Linked DNA regions of Pelodiscus sinensis. The protein of the gene in region 2 interacts with the protein of the main gene of each other region in a biochemical or structural test. Links are inferred from orthologs where the notes say so. Each region holds a gene or a part of one and is shown on either strand. Other genes may lie near its edges. The genes, in order: RAB5C and RBSN.

The links.
Region 1: the proteins of RBSN (region 2) and RAB5C form a complex in vitro, tested with the Homo sapiens proteins (2 studies listed by BioGRID and IntAct, with this or other methods). The link is inferred for Pelodiscus sinensis from reciprocal best matches to the Homo sapiens genes RBSN and RAB5C.

What each region holds. Positions count from the first base shown.
Region 1 is NC_134739.1:9,304,136-9,315,502, reverse strand, and holds the start of RAB5C (ras-related protein Rab-5C), read right to left. Parts: upstream 6,022-11,367; 5' UTR 5,864-6,021; intron 2,571-5,863; exon of another isoform or gene 2,504-2,570; intron 1-2,503. UniProt on the Homo sapiens protein: The small GTPases Rab are key regulators of intracellular membrane trafficking, from the formation of transport vesicles to their fusion with membranes.
Region 2 is NC_134721.1:20,568,770-20,581,112, reverse strand, and holds the start of RBSN (rabenosyn-5), read right to left. Parts: upstream 4,905-12,343; 5' UTR 4,744-4,904; intron 3,990-4,743; exon of another isoform or gene 3,779-3,989; intron 2,013-3,778; 5' UTR 1,869-2,012; coding exon 1,706-1,868; intron 1-1,705. UniProt on the Homo sapiens protein: Rab4/Rab5 effector protein acting in early endocytic membrane fusion and membrane trafficking of recycling endosomes. Required for endosome fusion either homotypically or with clathrin coated vesicles.

The DNA.
Region 1 (11,367 bases), on a different chromosome or scaffold from region 2:
AATGGTGTCCCTAGCCTCTATTTGTCCGAGGGTGGAGATGGATGGCAGGAGAGATCGCTTGATCATTATCTGTTCAGTTCACTCCCTCTGGGGCACCTGGTATTGGCCACTGTTGGCAGACAGGACACTGGGCTGGATAGACCTTTTGTCTGACTCAGTCTGGCCATTTTTATGTTCTTAACTTTCCCAGCAACTGCTTGGGAGTTTATGGAGGTGCTCTGAAAGCCGGAAACAGGCCTTGCTTGTCCAACAGTGTCTAAACTTCATTGCTTCTGCATCACTGCCCTGATTTCCAACACTGACCAAGGGGACACCTCAATAATTCTTAGAGGTATGAGAAGTCATTTGTCTTAAAGGATTTTGTAAGCGTCTCTGCACCCAATGTTACAGAAACATTGCTAGTTTTACATACCTGAAAATACTGGGTAATTTTACTGTTCTCTTCTCCTCTAATTCGTTAGGTCACTATTTTTACCTGCCTGGGGCCTTTTGCACAGCAGCAGAGAAACAGGTAAGAGGCTGTAAGACAAAGATGATCTCAGGGACAGGCCCAGAACCTGAAGGCCATTTCAACTCTAACTAGAAGTAAAGTTGGAACAAGGACATACTGACTGAAGATAGTAGCTAAAGAGGGAAAAGATCTAAGGACTGCTTCAGCTGTAGTAATAGAACAGGTTTACTCCTCTGAGTTACTGTGAATTTCACTTTCACTTCCAGACAGCTTTGCTTCCCCTGCCCTCCCCTCCTTCCCCCCCAGTTATTAACTTAACTGTATACTGTTGGGGTCACATCAGTACAGGGAAAATTAGGAAGTTGCTCTCCCCACCCCCACCCTGCCACAAAAGTTACAAGGGACAGCCAACTTACTGTGGGCCTGTATTACTCTCAAATTTCCAAGTCCTCCTCGTGTGTCATTTGAAATCACTTAAGTTTCCCCTTGCCTGAAGGCCATTAAGAATGCCTAGAGAAACTGATAGGGTTGTATGAGGGAACACATTCATCTGGCTCCATTTCTGAAACACAGACAACAACTTGGAGCACCCTATAAAAATGTATAAGCTATTCACTCATTCTCTGGAAGGATAATGGTGTTAAACAAAGGACCAGCCTCCTGTCTTCCAACAGTGGTCAATGCCACGTGTCCTAGAGAGTGAACAGAACAGGGAATCAAGTGATCCCTCCCCTGCCACCCATTCCCAGCCCCTGACAAACAGAGGCTAGGGACACTATTCTTGCTCATCCTAGATAATAGCAACTGATGGACCTAATCTCTGAATTTCTTTTTTGAACCCTGTTCAAGTCCTGGTCTTCACAATATCCTCTGGCAGGGAGTTCCACAGGTTGACTGCACTGCATGAAGAAATACTTGTTTGTTGGTTTTAAACCTCCTACCTATTAAATCTAATTTGGTGACCCCTAGTTCTTGTGTTATGGAACTTATTCACTTTCTCCACCCCAGTCATGATTTTATAGACTTCTATCATATCCTCCTTAGTCACCTCTTTTCCAAGATGAGAAGTCCTCGTCTTATTAATCTTTCCTTATACAGCAGCCCCTCCAAACCCCTAACCATTTTCTGCCCTTTTCTAGACTTTCAAAATGCAAATACATCTTTAAATGAGACATCCATATCTGTCTGCAGCATTCAAGATATGGGGGCATACAGGCAGTCCCCGGGTTACATGGATCCGACTTACATCGGATCCCACTTACAAACAGGGTGAGGCAACCCTGCACTAGCTGCTTCCCCCCAGCAGACCAGGGAGACGTGAAGCTAGCGCCCCCCCCCCTACCCCCACCCAGCAGACCAGGGAGACACAGAGCAGCTTCTCAGCAGACACCTTAGCTTGAGAATAAAGGACTGAGGGAAGTGAGGTGTGGGAGAATAAAACTGAGCTCTGGAGAAATGTTTGGCTAGAGTTTCCCCTACAATATGTACCAGTTCCGACTTACATACAAATTCAACTTAAGAACAAGCCTACAGTCCCTATCTTGTATGTAACCCAGGGACTGCCTGTACCATGAACATCTAGATCCTTTAGACGTATGATTCAGGAAGATCACATTAGTTGAAGATGTAGGGCAAGATTCCAAACAGGATTACTTCAACCATTCGGAATGAAGCAAGCTACTCAGCGACCCATAAATGTCAAGTTATTTCTCAACACTGCCGTTCTGGGTCACTCAGTCACGGTGTGTAGCCGATCCCTGGTTCAGAGCTGCAGACTACATGCATTGTTCTCAGAATTCCACATTCATCATGGCTGCTTCTACTTCTGGCCACCCAGAGCACCAGTTACAAGCTCCAAGTATAAGAGCAACCCAGAGTGTGGTTAAGAGAAGCAGCCAAGGAGTTAATGGGCCTATGAACAGGAAGTTTCAAAGATATGAGCTAGAGTGGAGGACAAGGGCACAGGAACGGAAGCAGTCCCTGTTAGTCCATGAAGACTAACAGGCCCCTCAGCTCTTGGCCTTGGAGATTAAGAGTTTGGAGTTCAATTACCTCAAACAGGAAGAGGTCAGGAGTTGTCTCAGCTTGGCACCAAGGTTCTGATACATTGTCTCTTCTGCCAATTTGATCTAGTACAAGCAGGGCATTCAATTATTTTGAACTGTGTCAACAGAAAGCCAAGAATATACAAGCAGCATGTTTCACACGGAACAGCCTTAAAACATGATGTCCCAGCGTAATCTCTCTTCTTTCCTTTATACATTTTAACTTCAACCTTGATTTGTCTCAAATTGCCATTTACAAAAGCACAAGATGTTAGAGGTGAGCCAACATAATATCAATGCTGCCAGTAAGATCCCAAACCAGACAGTGTTGACTTTAACACCGCTGATTTCATTGAGAAGTTATAAAAAGGCTGGAAAACTTAGTTGCTGTTTCTCATACCAAGACACACCTTCAGTGTCCAGTTTCCTTAGTGAGGCAATATCACTAATGACCTGTCAGGACCACTGCTCCTTTACCCTTAAGTAAAAGTTACCTTTTAAGTGCAAGTAAAACCTAATTGTACTCCATTCTAGGCATTCTGAGCTGGTGCGAGCCAAAACAGAGATGGCTGCCTGCCCACCCAGCTCCTAATACACTTTAGATGTAGAACCATGGCAGGGGTAGGTCCTGGACCCATCACAAACCAGGACAGAGACAGGCTGCTGGCCAGTCTTTTTTTTTTTTTTTTTTAAAAGCAAACACTTACTGACAGGCAGGGAAATGCATGTAGTGGACAGCATTAGCCAATAAGCAAAAGCTTACAGGTTAATCAACTATGCTATTACATCCCTACTCCATTCAGCTTTGAATTTGTTACAGTTTAGCATATTTATGAGGTCTACATTTGATCCCACTGTCATGCAATTTAACTGCAGTATTACCTCTAAATGTGTTAAGTCCACCTTCAACTTGATACATATTCAATTTGTAAACACCAGCTCTGACCATTCCCCCCCCCTTTCTGAAATGAGAGACTGAAGTTGGGGTCTTAAGTCCACTAGAAGCTAGATACTTGAAACTCTTAAAATAGACACAAATATTGGATCCCTTTGGCAACTAACTTTGGGCTCCTGTTTCCTAAATCCCTGGGCAGTTTATTTCCACAAGATATTTTCTAAGAAATCCAAGCTCTTAAAAAAAAAAGCAGAAGTGCTCTAACCTTTGCTACAAGTCATAGAAGTTAGGAGAAATCAATTACTTTGTCTATACAAAACAGTACAATGGCACTTAAATAACCAGAACAGTTACAGCTGGCTATTGTGGCAGTCATTCAGAAAGCCTGACACAGCATGGTATTCCCCTACATATAAAGAAACTATTAACTAGTAACTCAGGCAGCCCTTATGAGTCAAACCTGAAGAGCCATATCCCCGTACTCCAACTGGGAAATTAAGTGAGCAGCTTCTAAGTATGCTGCTTTTAAAATCAGGAAGTAAACTAATTATAATAAGTAGTAAATATTATTGCTCTGATGTCCATAAGGATCATACATTTTGGTTGGATAGCACCTGCATTCTGTGCCTCTGAAAAATCTTGTACACTTCCACAGTAAGTGCACTACCATACAGGCCCTATCAAGAAGCGAGTGAGAAGGTTAGTTTTATAGAAGCATGCATATGACCTAAGTGAAATCTCTGTATGGGAAATTTGCACTTTTATTCAAGAGTCTAACCAGAGGAATCTATTTTAAGACACCATCTTTTCTTCAGTTAAACCCTTTATTCCTTGCACTTCCATTGTTTCACATTAGGCAACAAGCCCCCAGTCTTTGGAGCCAAATACCATGCCCATGTCAGAAGATAAGACACCCTCCTCCAAGGCTCACATTACAAGCTTATGTCCAAGTTGGGATTGGAAGTTGAAGTCTCCCCACCTCACACACCAGTGCTCAGCTCAGTCCAGACTAGGTGACTTCTCAAAGACCTAGTTTTGACAATTCTCTGCCTTAAACTTTCTGCTCAATAACACTAACTACCATAAAGCCATAATATTATGGTCAACTTGTACACCTACATTTGACAACAGAAAGCCTAACCCTTGGAAACACTATGCCACAGCCATTAGACCTGTCCAGTGCCCAGAAAGCTAGGGTGATTATGGCAACAAAAGCCACCATTACCCAGTCAACCAATCCAGTTATCCAGATCCTAATTGTGGGCAAGAGAGAGAGGTCTGTTTGCTGGGTCAAAGTGAATCATGAATTGTCATACATTTACCAAGTGACAATACAAGCCAGGGGAAGGGGAAGTTACTAGGAAATTGACTGTTCATAACCAGGGAAGCAATAGAATTAATGACCAGGGGCAGGGGGGGGGGGGGGGGGGGGAAAGATGAGTTTGCTTCTCTTTTCTACTCATGTAATAAGTGAGTTACCAGCAAATGCCATTCTTGGTATGCTTTATGTGCACGCATGGGGGGGGGGGGAAATGTGGGCAAGATTACAGAGTCTCATCCAAGACAGGACAATAGATTAATCCCACTTCTCACCAGCCACCTAAACTGGTCTCAGGTGTTCAGGGAAACAGGGAAGGTTACCCCTGTAAACAGCCCAGGATCTCAGCTGCTTCCAGGCCCATTTACACACACATGCCAAGTAACAAGGAACCCAGCCAAGTTACCAAGGGAATAACTACTCCATACCAACATTCCCTCTAATCCAGTCCATCCAGGTGTAGATTTTTTCCCCAACCACATACAGAATAAGTTTTGCGCACACTGAGATATGTGCAAAGGTGCACTACCAATAGAACACAGACAAAAATACTAGCTGCAGTAGCTCTGCTAGTCAGCTGGCTGGCCAGCACTTGACTCTGAGCAGCTACGCAAGTGCCCAGCATACAGGCAACACTGCCCAGTACTGTGTGGCCAGGGCTGATCTCTGCTGACCCCTGAAGAGTGGCTGGGCAAAGCTCCCTTAAAAAGACCCCCCCCCCCCCCGAACACAACCTTACGTATAGAGCAAAGAATAAAGAGGGGGAGCATGTGAGACAAGGACAGAGTCCCCCCAGCCCAGTGCCTCCTTGCCAGATCACCCCCTGGTCCCAGGAAGCAAGGCACCCCCCACCTCAGGGCCCCCCCCACCCACAAGGCACCCACCACAGGGCCCCCCCACCTCAGGGCCCCCCCCACCCACAAGGCACCCACCACAGGGCCCCCCCACCTCAGGGCCCCCCCCACCCACAAGGCACCCACCTCAGGGCGCCCCCCACCCACAGGGCCTCTCTGCCCCCCGGCTCCAAGGGGCAGGACACCCCCCTGAGCGGCCCCTCCCCGCCCGACTGCGCCCCCGCCCCGGCTCCAGGGAGCAGGACACGCAGCACCGAGCCCCCGCCCCAGGACGCCCCGCTCCGAACCGGCCCCACTCACCGCGCCGGGGTCGCCTCTCTCCCCCGCCCCAGCTGGCTCTCAGGCTGCGGCCTCCACTTCCGCCTTTCAGCTGCTCCGTTTCCGGGTCCGCCCACCCCTTCCGCTCCGGTCGGGCGGGGTCAGAGGCAGCGGCGTCCGCCAATCACCGAAGCCCTGCCCACTCCTCCCTCCCCGCCCCTCCCAGCCCGGCCCTTCTCCGCGCTGCCGGAAGTGGGGCGTAGCGCGGCGGGGCGGTCCACGTGACGCACTCGCGGGGGCCGATGGGAGTTGTAGGCCTCGAGGTGGGAGGGTGCCGCCTGGGGCGGTGGGCGCAGCTTGGTGCGCAGGGAAGAAACAGGGGGAGGAGCCTGGAAGGGGGCGGAGCTTGAAGTGGGTGGGGGAAGCGGAGGGAGAAGCCTGGGCGGTGGTAAGGGGAGGGGGAGGAGCCTGGGGCAGAGGGAGGAGCCTGGAACGGGGATGGGCAGGGGGAGGAGCCTGGGGGCGTGGGTGGAGCCTGGGGCGGGGGCTCGGTGCTCCCTGGAGGAGGAGCCAGGGACAGAGGGAGGAGCCTGTAGTGGGGGGGGCGAGGGGGGATGAGAACGGAGGGGGTGGAGCCTGGGGCAGAGGGAGGAGCCTGGGGCGGGGGAATGAGAACGGAGGGGGTGGAGCCTGGGGCAGAGGGAGGAGCCTGGGGGGGGGGGAATGAGAATGGAGGGGGTGGAGCCTGCGGGTGGGGTTGAGCCTGGGGCAGAGGGAGGAGCCTGGGGCGAGGTGGGGGGAGGGAGGAGGAGCCAGGGACAGAGGGAGGAGCCTGTAGCGGGGGGGGGGGGGCGAGGGGGGGATGAGAACGGAGGGGGTGGAGCCTGGGGCAGAGGGAGGAGCCTGGGGCGAGGTGGGGGGAGGGAGGAGGAGCCAGGGACAGAGGGAGGAGCCTGTAGCGGGGGGGGAGCGAGGGGGGGGATGAGAACGGAGGGGGTGGAGCCTGGGGCAGAGGGAGGAGCCTGGGGCGAGGTGGGGGGAGGGAGAGCAGGAGGAAGACTCTGTTGCCTGGGTGGGGGGCCAGCAGGACTTCCCCCTGGTGGCAGCAGGGAGCTCCCTGGGATAGCTGGGATCATCTGTGCCACCCCAGAGCTGGGTGTGATAGGGAGGGGTGCTGGGCCACCCAAGCCTGCTGGGGGGGGAGGGGGGGGCGCTTGGCCTGGAGGAGACAGAGGTGGAGGCATTGGCCCACGGGTCTGCTTTGGGACGCAGCCTGCCCTGCTGCACACGGTCAGTCCCGTGCCCACGGCTGGAGCTGGCCCTGAGGACAGCTGGACTGGTATAGTGGTTTTAGGCTGTTCTGCTGCCCCCATCCCCTCTTACCCAGGAGGCTGCAAACTGCCCAAGTCCAGCCACCAACATGACTAGTGTTGCCAGGTGTCCGGTATTGTACCGGACAGTCCGGTATTTGCTCGCTCTGTCCGGTAAAACAAATCAGACAATACTGGACACGTGCAATGTCCGGTATTGTCTGATTTTTCCGGCTGCGCACCAGACAGAAGCCTGGCAAGGGCGGGGGGAGCGGCTGGGCGTCCTAGTTGGGAAGCGGGGCCACCATTGCCGCCGAGAGCCCTCCGTTGGTTGAGTGGGGGAAGCCTCCTCCTTGCTCGTGCGTTGCCGGGAGCCTGCGCGGGACAGGCAGCGCCCCAGGATCTGCAAGTGCCCGGGTCAGTCCCGCTCCCGCCGGCCGATTTGCTCACCCCTCCCCTACCCGGCCGGCCGGTCCTCCCCCACTTCCCCTCCTGATCTTCCCCGGCCAGCCCCCCTGCACCGCCCCCCAGCTCTGCTTCCCACTGGCCTGTTCTTCTTCCTGCGCCGCTGCACCCCCGCCCCCGCCAACTCTGCTTCCCTCCCAGCCAGCCCCACGGCTCCCGACCCCTCCCCAGCTGTGCTTCCCACCTCCCTTCCTCCTGCCCCCCCTTCCTCCCGGCCAGCCTCGCAGCTCCCGCCCCCCCCTTCCTCCCGGTCAGTTCCCCTCCCCTGATATTCCGCGGCCAGCTCCGTACCGCCCAACCTCCCCCCCCACGACCAGCCCTGCTTCCCGTTGGCCCCCCCATCTTTCCCCAGCCAGCCCCGTTGCCCCCCCCCCGTTAGCTGTTTCCAGGCCCCCCCACCCTTCCCAGTCAGTACCGCTCCCCGCCTGGCCAGTCCTTCTCCCTCCCCTCCTCCTATGAAGCGTGTCCAGTTTTTTTGTTAATGACTACCTGGTAACCCCTAGCAGTGCCCCATCCCTGTGATCACCACAGAGATTTAAACTGAGAAGCAACTTGCCTCCCTCCTCAAGCCCCCCCTGGCTCCCAACACCCCAGCTCCCTGACCCCAGCCCCAGGTTCTGCAAGGCTGCTGGCACAAAATGGCCTTGGAGTCTTTTTTTTTTTTCTCAACCTCTTTGGCTCCCCCCCCCCTTTTTTTTTCCTTCAACAGAATTTTTTCTCAGTGTTTTTTTTTTTTTTGGCAGGGGGCGGCTTGTTCTGTATTTTTGTTTCAACCATCTGACAACCGTAGACCTGACCCATGCCAGCTACACAATTCAGCCTCGGCGCGCTGACAGGGCCCCTCCACAAACCCAGGCCGTGGCTCAGGGCTTAGGAGAGGGTTCTGCCTCCAACATCCCAGCGGGGCTGTAGCTCCCAGAGGCTGGCACTAGCAGGAGAGGGCTGTGCTGGGCAGCAGAAGATCCTGGGTTCAGGCCTGCCTCTGACACATACGCAACCACCCAGAGCTGGCTGCATTTCAGCGGCGGGTGTGCAGAGCAGCCAATGAGCATTGGAAAGAAAGGGGCTGAAGACGTGAACATCACCGTGGTGCAGTGGAGGGGAATTCCCCCGAGTAGGGGTGTCCTCACGGACAGCAGCCCCTGGCGTTTCTGCAGCAGTGCCTGATGGGCGGGAGAGCAGAGCGTAGTCCTGTGCCATGCCCTGGAGACGAGGGCTCTGGGGTTCAAAGGGCAGAAGTGGCAGCTGTAGCTACCCAGGGCCTGGCAGGTTGCCAGGACAGGGGCCTGGTAAGAGGAAATTTGGCAGGCAGAGCTATGGGCTGGCTCCGCCCTACTTGGCTGTAGGATCTTTACGGGTGTTCAGGCTGGGTCCTAGTCTGTTACATCGGGAGCTGCTGTGACTCAGCCCAATGCCGGCCCTGCTGCAGCTTGGAAAGCACATGGAGCAATGGGGACTGTGGGCTGGGTCGGAGGATGGGATCAGCGACCTGCCCTTGGTGTGGCCCAGCAGCCTGCAGTCACACGGCAGCCCCAGCTTAGGAGAGCAGGTGATGCAACCCACCCCGAGGGCTCGTTAGGGGAGGGAGCCGAGAGGCCGCCCTGTGTTGCCAGCAGCGATGTTTGTTGCTCGCAGAGACCTGGGAGCTCTGGCCCAAGGGAGATTTTTCACGGGCTAGCCTGTGTGGCTGGGGCAGAGCAGGGAGAGAAACCTCCCCCCCTCACAGGGTCCAAGCTGCCAGAGTCAAGGGGCGCAGTCAGTGAGCCGGGCTGGGTAAGCCCCCAGGAGCATGTAGAGAGCTGCAGAGCACAGGGCGGACAAGGCCACAGGAGGCGCTGCCTGTCAGCATAAACCCCACTGCCCCCCATGCCGGGCTGGAGAGCAGGCTGGGCCACTGAGCCAGTGGGGCAGGGGAAACGCACACTCCCCTCTAGGCCAGAAAACTGGGTTGGCCAATCTATCCATGGCTGAGCCCCAGCAGCCTAGGACAGGTGGGGACTGGTGCCCGTGAGTCAGGCTGGCTTGCCAGGAAAAGGCGCCACCAGTTAATTGCCCTGTTCCAGGGAGGGTAGCTGGCTGGCACAGCACCTCTGACAACACGGCTACGTCTAGACTGGCATGATTTTCCGCAAATGCTTTTAGCGGAAAAGTTTTTCCGTTAAAAGCATTTGCGGAAAAGAGCATCTAGATTGGCACGGGTGCTTTTGCGCAAAAGCACTTTAGACGCAGTTTTGTGCAAGAAAGCCCCGATCGCCATTTTCGCCATCGGGGCTTTTATCCGCACAACAATACCGCGTTGTCTACACTGGCCCTCTTGCGCAAAAGCATTTACACACGAGGGCTTTTGCCCGAACGGGAGCAGCGTAGTATTTCCGCACGAACACTGACAATCTTACAGTGTCTTACAGCAAGTGGCTGTGATGGCAAGTGGGTGGGGGAAGGGGCAAGGCCTGAACTGGTCCCCAGGATCCCAGAAAGCAGCAGCAAAGGGATCTGAGCAGATGGAGCCCCAGGTAGGGGGGGGCCTTTCAGCAAGGTGCTTTGGGGTGCCAGGTATTTTGGGAATCAGACTGAGTTGTCCCCCCCCCGTCTCTCCAACCCCTCCTATGCCAGCCATTGACCGTACCACGTACCAAGCAGCAGGGGCACAACATTGCCCCTCCCCAAAAGCAGCAGGAGGCAGTGGCTGTAAAAATAGAGCTTTTATTTCATGTTGTGTCTCTGCAGCACCATGGAGGGGGTGGCCGGGGAGGGGCTGGGCAGCGGTGGCACATGCTGGTGGCAGATGCGGGGAGGATTCATCTGTGGAAGGGACCAAATATAAAACGGAGCAAAACGCCGGAGAATCACTGAAGTTCCCAGCAGGGAGCAGAGCCCCAGAGCCAGGCGCCGCAGCAGACGGGGAGGGCAGTGACGGGCGACTGCTGGAGTCCGGGTGCCTCTGGGCTCAGGGAGAACAGTGGCTGGTAGCAGCCCAGCTCTGTCTGTCTGTCTGTCTCTCTGTGTGTGTGTGGTCCCAAGGAGGTGTCTGCTTGGCCGTGGTCCCCTTAACTCTGCCCGCCGTGGCTGGGTCCAGGCTCACCACCTTGTGGCCCAGCCCAGCCCCTGCAGGCCCAGCCCGAAGAGGCAGGCTGGCACGGCTCTCTCTCGGACCAGCTGCTAGAGCTCAGCACAGGGTCCCTGGACAGCGACCAACCCTTATAGGGCTTCCCCTGCATCCTAATCCTGAGCACAAAGGGGCTTCCCCACCCACCCAGCCCCCTCCCTCGCACTGAGGTCAGAAGAGACTGCCGGTTGTGGCGAGCACAGCCAAGGTCTCGTGGGGAGGAGGCAGGCTGGGATGTGCCACACAGGCACTTGTTGGGAACAGCCCAGAGGCGGCCAGGGCGGAGAATTCCCAGTCGCCGAGGCGGCCAGGCAGGGCTGTGCCGGAAAAGACGTAGGGTGACACAGGCCCAGCGCTGGGGGCGGCTGCGTGAGCTGGACAGGTGGGGAGCTAGGCTGAGCTGGGTCATTCACACACAAAGGGGGTGCTCCTGGAGCTGCACAGCTCCCAGAATGCACTGCTCCAGCTCCCCTCCAGCCAGAGGGTCTGGCCGGCCACCCCCAGGACTGAACCAGGGCCCTGGAGCTTGGGCTCCGTCCCTGGAGTTGCAGCAATCACCCCCCTCCGGGGAGGGCAGGGGCACCTGGCCCCCCCGCGCAGGGGGTTACACTTGCATATTGGGACACGTAGCCTTGGCACAGCACAGTCTGGACCCCCCGACTTGC
Region 2 (12,343 bases):
TCAATAGTGATATTATAACACACTTCAATATCTACTAAAGATAGTTGTATGCAATCACATAATTTTTCTATCATTTGTCATATAAAGTTTAACACGTATCCCATGACACATTTATACACATCAAATTGGAGACCTGCTGTAATTTTCCTCATTGTTATCAGTAGAGATGTGAAGGACTAGCCGACTAGTTGACTATCTGATAAGTAAATGCTTATCAGATGATCGACAGGCTAGTTGACTAGTCACATCCCCCTGTTGCTGCCTCTGTCAGAAAGAGGCAGCAAGGAGGAAGAATAGTAGGGGGTACTTCAACAAAGCGGCAGTGTCACTTGGAACCTGGAGCCAGACCCCAGGCTCCAAGTGGCGCTGCCACTTTGAAATGCTCCGGGGAGCCCAGAATCAAGCTGCACACAGCATTTCAAAGCAGCAGCACCGCATGGAACCCAGGATCAACTGGGAACTGATCTCAGGCTCCATGCAATGTTTTAAAGTGGCAGCATTGACTATGACAAAGCAGACAGATAAAAATAACATCCTTAAAAATACAAATTAAAGAAAAATTTGAAAATGTCAGAGATATTTTAAATTGAAGGGACACTACTGAGATAGCAGAACACAAGTCTACTTTCATTGTCAAAAGTGAGTGAATGGCTAAAAGCAAATGAGCAGCTAAAGTGGTGAAAAGTAAAATTCAGTCTGATAAATCTAATTTAATAATCTAACATGGTCTAAGAGTAACACAAGCAATGTTTTAAATAAAAATATTGAGATTAAAAGCCATATATTCAAACAAAGTATCCTTTTAAGGGGCACTGTCAATTACAGTTAAAAATTATAAAAATTCAAGATTAAGGAAAAACAAGCAACTGTCCAGGAAAACACTCAAGACTGTTTCTGAACATTTTACTCAACACATACAACTGAAGTGTATATGAACAAAAAGCTAAGAAGAATCTTTTATTATCACAAAAATAGATTACCTAAACAGCATTATTAAATCCACTATAAATATAGCCAAGGCTCTTGTCAATTTCACACCCCACTTTTAATTATGTGCAAGTTATCCACCTTCAATTCCAATGACAAATCCATAATTTATTTTTTGAGATCGTGTCCACGGAAACTGCAAGCATAACTGTTATTAATTCTAATAATATAAATCCTTCATGTACTGAGAACTCTCACAAAAGTGAAGCACCTGCATTTTCTAACTTGGGCGCTTAAAAGTAGGTATCTGAAAATCAAGCCGCTTATTTAGTTGCCTAAAATTAGGAAACCAAGTTAGAAAACATTATTGAAACTTTCTGTTGGAAACTGTACAAAAATTCTTTGGCCTAAATCCATTTACACATTAACCAACCCCACTTCTAACTCATTTTAATCAATATTTTAGTGAAGTGAGACTTATAGCTGAGATGCTCTTAGGAATCTGTAGTGCAACAAACATACAGCCGCTCCCCGACTTACGGCCACCTCCACTTATGACCATCCGCACTTACGACCAAAGCGGTTATAAATGCTGATCCGAGTTACGAACGGCGATCTGCGCTTACAAACAGCATGGTCACCATGTAACTCTATGGGATCTGAGTTACGAACAGTTCAAGTTACGGACCAAGTGTTGGTTCGTAACTCAGAGAGCGGCTGTATTTCACTGTACATAATTTTACACAGCAGAAGTTAAAACTGTTGTCATGATTCTTACTTCTGAGCTGTCCTTTGACATCTCTGTCCTCACTTGAGTGTTCTTCTTCATAATGAGACTGAAGCTGATAGAAAGACTGCAGATCCTTCAGGCACAGGGGACAGAGAAAACCCTCTCTCACTTCCACAGAGTCATCAAATGGAGGAGGGTAGCCTGATGCCATGATGCTTTGTGCACTTGTGGTATACTGTTGTCCTCCAAAACTTAGCAGCAGTGGAACAGCAATATGCTGTTCTGTAGCATTATGTCTGATGAATTAACAAAGAGCAAGTGGCATTCTTCCTTGCAGCTTGTGCAAAACAGCAATCTGAAAAAGATGCACAGTGCAGTTTTAAACAGGATGAACAGTTTAACTCAGTAGCTATCTGATCTTTTAATGATCCAGTTACTTCCTAGAACACTGCTCCACAGACAACTGAAGAAACTAAAGCAGTGGCTCTCACCTTTTCAGACTACTATAACCCATTCAAGACTCTGAACCTTACCCCCAAGTTTCACCTCACTTAAAATCTCTGGACTTACAAAACCAGACACAAAACCAGACACAAAAATACAAAAGTGCCACAACACACTACAGGTTGAACCTCTCTAGTCTGGTACCCTGGGGATCTGACCAGTGCCAAACCAGAGGTTTTTCTGAACCACAGGAGGTCAATACTGTCTAACAGTATTACCAATACTTCCACTGTTTACTGGGCTCTTGGAAGACATTCAGGGATAAATTAAACAACAGCACAGAACACTAGAGCCAAGAATGAGGGCTTTAACACACTTCATGGGACTGCAGGAAACTTGGCCACACCCATAGTAAATGGACATCTGGCTAAATAAAATCTTGCTGGACCATGGATGTTGCTGGACCAGAATGAGCCGGACTAGAGCAGTTCAACCTGTATTACTGAAAAATTGCTTACTTTCTCATTTTTACCATATAATTATAAAATAAATCAACTGAACTATAAATATTGTACTTACATTTTGGCATATAGCTTATAGAACCATGTAAACAAGTCACTGTATAAAATTTTAGTTTGTACAGACTTTGCTAATGTTTTTTATGTACCTTGTTAAACTATGTAAATATCTAAATGAGTTGATGTATGCCCTAGCCTAGAAGACTTCCGTATACCCGCAGAGGTACACATACATACTCATGATTTAGTCTGGGACCTCTAGACTAAATCATACTTCACCTCATATCACATATTGCATGAGACCCTCAAGTATTCAGTGGACCCTTCCTTTTATACCCCAGCCCCTTAACTTCTCTTAGAGGGTGTAAAACACAAGTTTCTCATAAGATCCTTTGCTAGGGAAGAAAACTTATATGACAAATGACAAAGAAAGCTAAAGAAAATAAAATGTAAATAAAAATGGTCAGTCTGACTCAAAATACTTGGGTCATTCCAGGTAAATACTTTAGAGGGCAATTTCCTCGAATGTCCAGGATAAACCTTCATGAATGAAGTTAAACCATACTGATCTTTGGGCTCCACTGTACTAAAAATACAACTATTGGGTGCGTTACTGTAGGATTGTATGTTCATTTTTTATAGCAGTGTTTCTGAACCACTGGTATGAGTTCCCTTAGGGCAGGGGAGTCCAAACTTTTTTCAAAGAGGGCCAGATTTCATGAAGTGAACATGCGTGAGGGCCGACCATTTTGCCTGACATTCTTTGAACCATTAAAATTAAATGCAAATTAACTATTTTATGCAAAGTTTATTGCAAACGGCATACTTTTCATTTCATCACATGGATCACAAATCTAAACAGGTGTTAAATCACTCTGCCTTTCATATCTGAAGTCCAAATGAAAAAAAAATCCAGGAAGCTGAAATATATGTCAGGAACATTGTAAAGTACATTACATATTATTGGTAATAAAGGTTGTCTGTCAACTTTTAAGTTCAAAAAATATGAACAGGAACATAACACCAAGTATACATGTTGTGTCCAAATATATTTATAACTGATTTAGACCAACTGACATTAACTGAGATTTTACAATGTATTCATCTCAATACATATGGATTCGTTGGGGGCCTTAAAAGATAGATATTGCCAAATTACCTGTGGGGCCGTATTAAACCGGAACACGGGCCGCAATTGGCCCGCGGGCCGGACTTTGGACATGCCTGCCTTAGGGGTACTCGAGAGAAGTCTGAGAAGTCTGCAGGGTACGGCAACACAACTGAAATTTGGAGAAAACTGAATTTTGTTTTAAATTTTACACCACTTTATTATTTGTGTACTTCTTACACCCAAAAATTTCATCGCCTGCCCGGCTACATTTAAGTTGTTGAAACAAATGTATTGCAAGGGTAGAAAAAAATGTTGCCTCTGAAACGGTAGGTACTGGGGGTACTTATAATTTTTTTTTAAAGGGGGCACTTCATAAAAAGCAAAAGAGTTGAGAAACACTGTCCTAGAGACTAATGTCAACCTCGGGGGAGCGTGGGAACTTGCAAGAGGTGTTCGGGACGTTTCACCCACCGAAGTGGCTTCCTAGGAAGCACTTGGGAGACTATTCAGCATGGAAATCCTGCGACAGGTGCCTCCACCCGCCCCACGGAGGTGACGCTCTGAGAGGGGCGCTGTGGCGGGAGCACCGAGGGGGACGCGCTGCAGTCCAGCCACGCCCAACTGGATGGGGGAGGGTCCAAGTGCCCACGGGACACCCCGACCGTTACGAAACGCGCCCGGGGAGCTCTGCCAGCAACGTGTGGCCGCCTGCGAGCCCCGCCCCGCCCCGGGGAGCGGGCTCGGCCCCGCCCCGCCCCGCCGAGCTCTGGCAACAACATCAGGACCGCGGCGCCCCCGACCCCACTGCGACGGGGGGGGGCTGCCCCTGCCAGAAGGGGGAGGGTCCCGCGCTCCAGGGCCGGGCCGCCTTTACTCCCCACAAGGGCCCCGCCCTGTCCCGCGCGAGAGGAGAGGAATCCCCCCGCCCTGCGGACCCAGGGGCGCGCCCCAACCGAGGAGCGGAGCGCAGGCCCGCGGGCCGGATTCCGAGCCCACCCCGGGGCGGGTCTCACCTCGGCTCCCAGGCGAGGCGAGGCGGCGGCTCCGGGCCGCGGGCCCGGCCCAGCTGCGCTAAGGGCTAGAGCCCAGGCCGAGCGCCGAGCTAGCGATGGGAGGAGATGGGCAGGCTCATCCGGGACAGCAGGGAGGGGCGGGGCTTGACCGAGGCGCCACTGCCGAGCGTCGAGTCCACGGATCGAGGAGCAGTGGCTGCTGGGAAAGGGAGGGTTTAGAAGATCGCCGGGGCAAAGGCTGGGAAAGGGGAGGGGCCAAGGACAAGGAGAGGCCAGGGCGGCTCGTGGGCTCTGAGCAGGGGCAGGCTAGGGAGTGGGGGCTGTGAGCTCTATGGAAGCTGCATTGTCAGGCCCTATCTCCAGGGTTGCCAGCCCCAGCAATCATGGGGGTCTGGCGTGGGGCAGGCGCCGTTGCTTTCGGGTTTCCCTGCTAGCGGGGTACGCTCCAGTTACGGGCTCCGCTTTTCTCTGCAACCATTTAAATGAAAGCGGAGATTCTCCTGGAATCACACACGGTGCTGGGGCTGTAAGCAGAACGGTGTAGGCAGCAAGTCGGGAACATTGCTGTAGTCTCACTGCTTTGCCCCTTCACCTGTCTCTCCCATCCCACTACTCGTCTGTATCTCCCCTGGCAGGGCACGTCCCGCTCCCACTGTGCACAGAACCAGCCCTTGGTCAGAGGGCTCAGCTCACCAAGAGCCTGGCTGGAGGCTTCTTCCTCCCTCTCACTGCCTCTGGCTGGGAGCCGGTGCCCCCCAAAAGCCCAGAACCCTCCCCCCTGGGCACTGGGCAGGAGAAGTCAAGCCCTACATGTGCCAAATCCACACACAGCCCTGACATGGAGGATCTGGAGGATCCTGTCCACCTCTCAGCTAAGCTCTAGAGTCGTAGTGGGAAAGCGATTTCCATCCTGCTTGCTCCTCAAATAGGCAGGCTCCACAGCAGCCCCTCAGGCAGGTGCTTAGCACCCTCCTTTCACCTGCCCCTCTCCCCCCACATTCCATCCTGTCCCAAGGGAGCCCGGGGTGCTCTGTCCACTAGCTCCCCCTTTCCGAGTCACTTGGGTACGCTGAAGCCCCTGCAATCCAGTTCCCTGATCCCTGAAGTAGACAATAGAGCCTTCAGGCTTAACTCCTTCTTGCCCTCACTGTAGCCAGGGAACAAGAGGTGACTGGGTTGTCTGTGGCATCATCAGGTCATGCTCTACCTTTAGGCTCTCCTGCCTGTTCCCTGAGGTGAGGGCAGGCAGATTGGGACTGTGGTGCATGTGCCCTTGGGTCCACTGCCTGCGCAGTGCTGGGGCTGACGGCTTGGGTGGGGAGGGACTTCATGGGCAGGGGGAGCAACCAGGCACTGCATTGCAGCCCAGGGAGTCTGAGGTTGTGCTGCTCACCTGGCTCTCCAGCACTCTGGAGCTGGGGGTCTGGGGCTGTGCTGCCTGGCAACCCTGGGCTCCAAGGCCAGCAGCCACAATGGGAGGAGGGGTTGGGGCCATTGGGTATGGAAGGGGCAGGGCTTTGGGTGGAAGAGGTGGAGCTGAGGGCTGTCTCCCCAAGCCAGGAGTTCATCCACCATCCATGCTGGAGGGGTTAGCTGCCTTTTCACACTGTATCATCAGGAAGAGAGGGGAGCTGCTTTCAGCCACAGGAGGTTTTTGGGAGGTGGTCTTGGCTGGAGGAGTAAGAGATGAGTGCTGTAAAGACATGAGCCAGGTCATCCCTTCCCCACCTCCTCCTCCCCTGTAGCTGAAAGCAGCTTCCATCCCTTCCTTTCCTGCATAGTGCCAAAAGGATGCTGCGGGTCATGTTCTGATGTGAACCCTGTCAGAAAACTGAGGTGGGATGGGGGGTAAACCTACATAACCCACCCTTTCCCCATGTGTTACCTTGCAAAGATGTGGTACCAGGAGAGGCAGGTCCATGATAGGTGCCCAACCAGGCATATAGAGCAAAAAACGCTGGGCAGGGAGGCTAATGAGGTAGTTGGGAAGATATAAATAGAAACAGGCAGCAAGGGGATGTTTTGGAGGTAAAAGAGAAGTGCTTATTTACTGAAGCAAAATGCAGGACAATGTAGCACTTTAAAGACTAACAAGATGGTTTATTAGATGATGAGCTTTCGTGGGCCAGACCCACTTCCTCAGATCAAATAGTGGAAGAAAGTAGTCACAACCATATATACCAAAGGATACAATTAAAAAAAATGAACAAATATGAAAAGGACAAATCACATTGCAGAACAGGAGGGGGATGCGGGGTGGGGGGGGGAGGAAGGAAGGTAAGTGTCTGTGAATTGATGATATTAGAGGTAGGGAGAGTGGGATGTTTGTGAGTTAATGGTATTAGAGGTGATAATTGGGGAACTATCTTGGTAATGGGTGACTGCATTACAACAAGAAATTATAAGAAAAGCCTAAATATGCACTTTGGTGAAAGAATAATCTGATGTATGTTTGTGACCATGGGAATTGACCAGACAGTGAGATACATGTGGTAATGACAGTTACTCTGGGACACTCAGATCTCAAACCATCTGCAGGTTTAGGGGCTGAATATTTTGCCCTTGTGGCAGATACCATCTCATTCTGACTGTCTCCTTCCCCCTTTCCAATGAATGTTTCAAAGGAAGCTGGGAAGGAAAGGTGTGTGGAGTGTGTTTTCAAATTGTTGCCCACATAGGGCCCCAAAATCAGTACAAATGGCAGAGGAGCATCTTTCATATTATTGAGTTTACCCCATTCTGCTGTTGGACAACTATAATTTTACAAAAACCTGAAGGGAAATTAAAAGGCTCAGAACTGATCTGATTTAGTCACAGGAATAATAGTGTTATAAATAAACAAACTCATTTAATTTTAAACACCCATTTTCTTATTTGTATCCATTACTCCCCACTTTTCAAAACAATATACTCTTGGTTCAATTATGTAAAGAAAATCAAACAGCTGTGAAAATGAATGCAAATCCCAGTTATGATCACTTTCCTGCTTAGCATGGAAAGTGCAGGCTCAAAACCCATTTGCTCTGAAAAGCAGAGGAGAGATTTTTATGGTGCTGTTAAAAAAATTGCCCCAGTCAGAGACTGCTCCCCCATGTTATTAACAAATTTTATTGTATATAATAAACTGTTACCTTAAAAAATCAAATACCCGTTTAAAAATCAGCTAAGAGGGCATATTGATCCAAAAATTCTTAAGAACCTGAACAGTTCTTTTAAAAGAATTTAAAAAATGTGGGTTTTTTTTTTACAAATAGAGTCCTTGCTAAGTATTTTAATACAGAACTCTGTTCACATGGACTGGAAAAGAATGAAACTGTACAGTAAATTGCTGCACTAATAAAGCAAGCTAATAAAGCAAGACATGACAGTTGACTAAGTATAACTCCGGTCATCTGATGAAGTGGGCTGTGCCCACGAAAGCTCATGATACCGTCTACATGTTTCGTTAGTCTATAAAATGCTACCGGACCATTTGTTGTTTTTTTCTAAATTTAGATGATATCCAACTTCACTGCGTATCTGTTTTGATCCTATGTTGTGGCTTTTCTATTTATCTAGGCACTTTTAAGGCACTCCACCTAGGTGTCTAGGGAGCATATGTAAGAGAAAAGAAAGTAAGAGATGAAAATTGGATCAATCTGGAGAACTCTTTAACTAGCTTACTTGTTGTACCACTATTATATTATACGAAATACTCTCTAGCATCTTTCAGTCTTGTGGCAAATAAATACAATTTACATATTTTAATTACGAATTTGATAGAGACATCAAGATGTGTGCATCCCTTACATCCCCAATAGCTTTTATGCTGGTGGACCCCTGCATCTATGTGTATCTCATTGAAGTCAATGGGATTTTGCTTTTGCAGATCCAGTTTTAGGAGCAGCCTAGATGAGTAAACATCTGATTTTATTACTGTAACCTCTTTCCCACCTCCCCTTTCCATGACATTTGTCTACTGACCTCACTTGTCTCACATCTCTAGTTAGCATCTTTCTCTGCCAAGGAGGCACATTAGTCATCAGCCTAAGTATTTGCAGAGTTGAGCTCTAAGGCCTTAGTCCTGTGACTTGTTCTGCCTGGCAGGGGTCAGCCTATACCAGTGGTCACCAACCAGTAGATCGGGATCTACCAGTAGATCTTAGAGCCTCTGACAGGTGATCCTGACTGGTTTGGCTGGGAGACTATCAAGCGCTGGCACTTCAGCTGTCCCTCCTACCACTGCCCAGCTGCTACTGCCCAGAGCCTCAGAGTTGCCCCGGGAGCTTCCTGCTTGTTATGCAGGGTGGGGGCAAGAGAGGCAGGGGGCATTGATGTCACTCTGTCCCCCTCCCCTGTACCCCATATTCATAGAGTGAGGAGCGCAGGTCCTCAGCAAAGGGGTGGAGCAGGGGTATTTGGGTTTGAGGTAGATCCTGGACTGACTTAAATTCAAAAAGTGATCTTGTGCTTAAAAAGGTTGGAGACCACTGGCCTATACTGATCAATTTACAGTGTGTGGACATTAGATTGTAACCTCTCTGGGGCAGGGACCATGCATTTCCTTGAGTTGGCAAGACACTGTGATGGGCTGTCCCTGGGAAAGAGCCAGCAACTGGAGGACTGATTGGAGATGGAGCCCAGCTGGGGAGTAACACCTGGGACTGGTATGAAAGTAGTAAGTTTACAGCAGAAAGGGGATTGCATCAATAATAGAATCATAGAATCATAGGACTGGAAGGGACCTCAAGAGGTCATCGAGTCCAGCCCCCCGCCCTCAAGGCAGGACCAAGCTCCGTCTACACCATCCCTGACAGATGTCTATCTAACCTGTTCTTAAATATCTCCAGAGAGGGAGATTCCACCACCTCCCTTGGCAATTTATTCCAATATTTGACCACCCTGACAGTTAGGAATTTTTTCCTAATGTCCAATCTAAACCTCCCCTGCTGCACTTTAAGCCCATTACTCCTTGTCCTGTCCTCAGAAACCAAGAGGAACAAATTTTCTCCTTCCTCCTTGTGACACCCTTTTAGATACTTGAAAACCGCTATCATGTCCCCCCTTAATCTTCTTTTTTCCAAACTAAACAAGCCCAGTTCATGAAGCCTGGCTTCATAGGTCATGTTCTCTAGACCTTTAATCATTCTTGTCGCTCTTCTCTGTACCCTTTCCAATTTCTCCACATCTTTCCTGAAATGTGGCACCCAGAACTGGACCCAGTACTCCAGCTGAGGCCTAACTAGTGCAGAGTAGAGAGGCAGAATGACTTCATGAGTTTTGCTTACAACACACCTGTTGATACAACCTAGAATCATATTTGCTTTTTTTGCAGCAGCATCACACTGTTGACTCATATTCAACTTGTGGTCCACTATGACCCCTAGATCCTTTTCCGCCATGCTCCTTCCTAGACAGTCGCTTCCCATCTTGTATGTATGGAACTGATTGTTCCTTCCTATGTGGAGCACTTTGCATTTCTCTTTATTAAACTTCATCCTGTTTACCTCTGACCATTTTTCTAACTTGCTATCAAGAAAGTCTGTAGCCATCTTTTGTGCATTAGAGGAAATCCAGGGAAAGAGTTAGAGGCTGGGGACCTGGCTCTGGGGGAAGGGCATACCCAAAGAGAAAGGTGGAGAAGAAAGCTTATCAGAGGTAAACAGGAAGCAGCAGGACTAGGGACTGAGCAGAGCTTGACAGTGTGCTAGGCTCCCTGGACTAGAATCTGGAGTGATGGGTGGGCCTGGGTTATCCTACTAGCCACTAATGGAGAGTAACTGTCTGGGCAGCAGATACAGTGAGATTCTACTCCAGAAGGGGAAGCCACATAGTGTCCTGGTTGCAGCTCCTGGAGTGAGAGAGGGATTTCAGCTTGCGAAAAGACAGCAGGGAAGAGACTGCAAGTGGAGGCACTGGACCTGAAAGAGAGCTAATTCCCAGAACAGCCAGGAAGAGGTGCTACTGGTGATGAGCGAATACCCTATGACAGGCACTTAATGCATTTTGGGGCACTCAAGTAATAACAGAAAGTACAAGAAGAGGCTTTCCCACAGATAAGTGCCATGCTGGAATAAGCCAATGGTGGTGTGCCTCCTTGTGCCAGAGAAAATTGGATTCCACAAGTGGCATCTCAGTCAGGTAAGTCATGACTTCCTAACCACATGCTAAATATACCAGTTAAGTAGAGAAAGTAGATTTGATTATCACATTCCCAGAGGAGAGATCTTGATATCTAAATTTGCACTAGGCAGCACAAGGCGTTTGTGCAGACAGCATGAATCACTGAATGAAGAAAATGACAATCTGTGTAAATGCAGTCTTTTTTCCCCCATTGTTACAACATAAATTGTTTGTTCCCACAGTAATGGCTGCAGGGCATGGACCTCACTTAAGTTAGCGTAACTCTCATTAAATTTACCACAATACACTAACAAATACATGAACAAGAGATGGACTCAAGTTGCAAGAATTTGTATCCAGGTTTGGATGTGGCACATTGGTTCTCATAACTGGATACTCAGACTGAATATGCCCCTGTCAAGATCTTTGTGGGCAGGGATATCCTTAATACAAATGCCAACAGGCTATTGTGCCAGCACTAGATAGTGCTGCTCACAATGGCTTCAAAATTGCCTGTAATCTTGTACTTATCTGACAGCCTTTCATGGGGGAATATTACTTACAGAGCACTAAATAGCTGGAGATCATAGGCCAGATTCTCAATTGCCATAAATCAGCATAGATCTACTGTGGGCTGGGATTTACACTTGCTGGGAATCTGTGGGGCTGTTTTATTTTTTCATGGTGTTTGAAGAAAAATCCTTAATGGCTTATGTCTTCTGAGGATATATTGAGATTCAATTTGCTGTTTTAAAGATATAAGAATAAACTGTGTAGTGTGTGTGACTGTCTTCTACTGGATGACAGCAGAACTGCTCAGATCTGCTATAGGCCCTATATTGTTCACAACTAATTGAATTGTGTGTATAGTAATAACTCTTTAGCATACATGTTATGAGGCCCCCAATCAGGGCCTGGGGGCAGGGCAGTGCACAAAATCTCCTCCTGCTCTGCCAGGAGCGCCTGGCTTTTCCAAGCCCTGTGTGGTCCTGGCAGAGTGGAGGAAACAACGTGGGGCCAGAGCTGAGGAAACTTCATGAGCTCCTCTGCCCCCAAGCCCTGGTTGGCCTGTGGGCGGGGGAGCACACAAAGCCTCCTCCAGCCCTGCCAGGAGCACCTGGCTCTTCCAAGCACCATGTGGGCCTGGCAGAGTGGAGGAAACTTTGCGCGCTCCCCCTGGGCCTAATGGGTCTGGGACTGGGGGACTGGCAGGGCCTCTGTGGGCCGGATCCACCCGCTTGGTGGGCCGGATCCAGTCCATGGAGGCCCTTTTGCCCACCTCTGGCATAGCGCAAGCCATGGAGCAGAACGTGAAAGAAGTCCTGGGTAGCCATGAATTTATCTGTTAGCCATATTTATTCTATGGTATAAACATAGACCTCCCAGAATACTAGGGAATGTACCTGGAATCTGGACTGGGGAAAGCTTGATACAAGTTGGTGGAAAAGAGGAGGGTGAAAAGTTGATCCTTGAGTTATCTTTGAAAATGAAGGCTGGC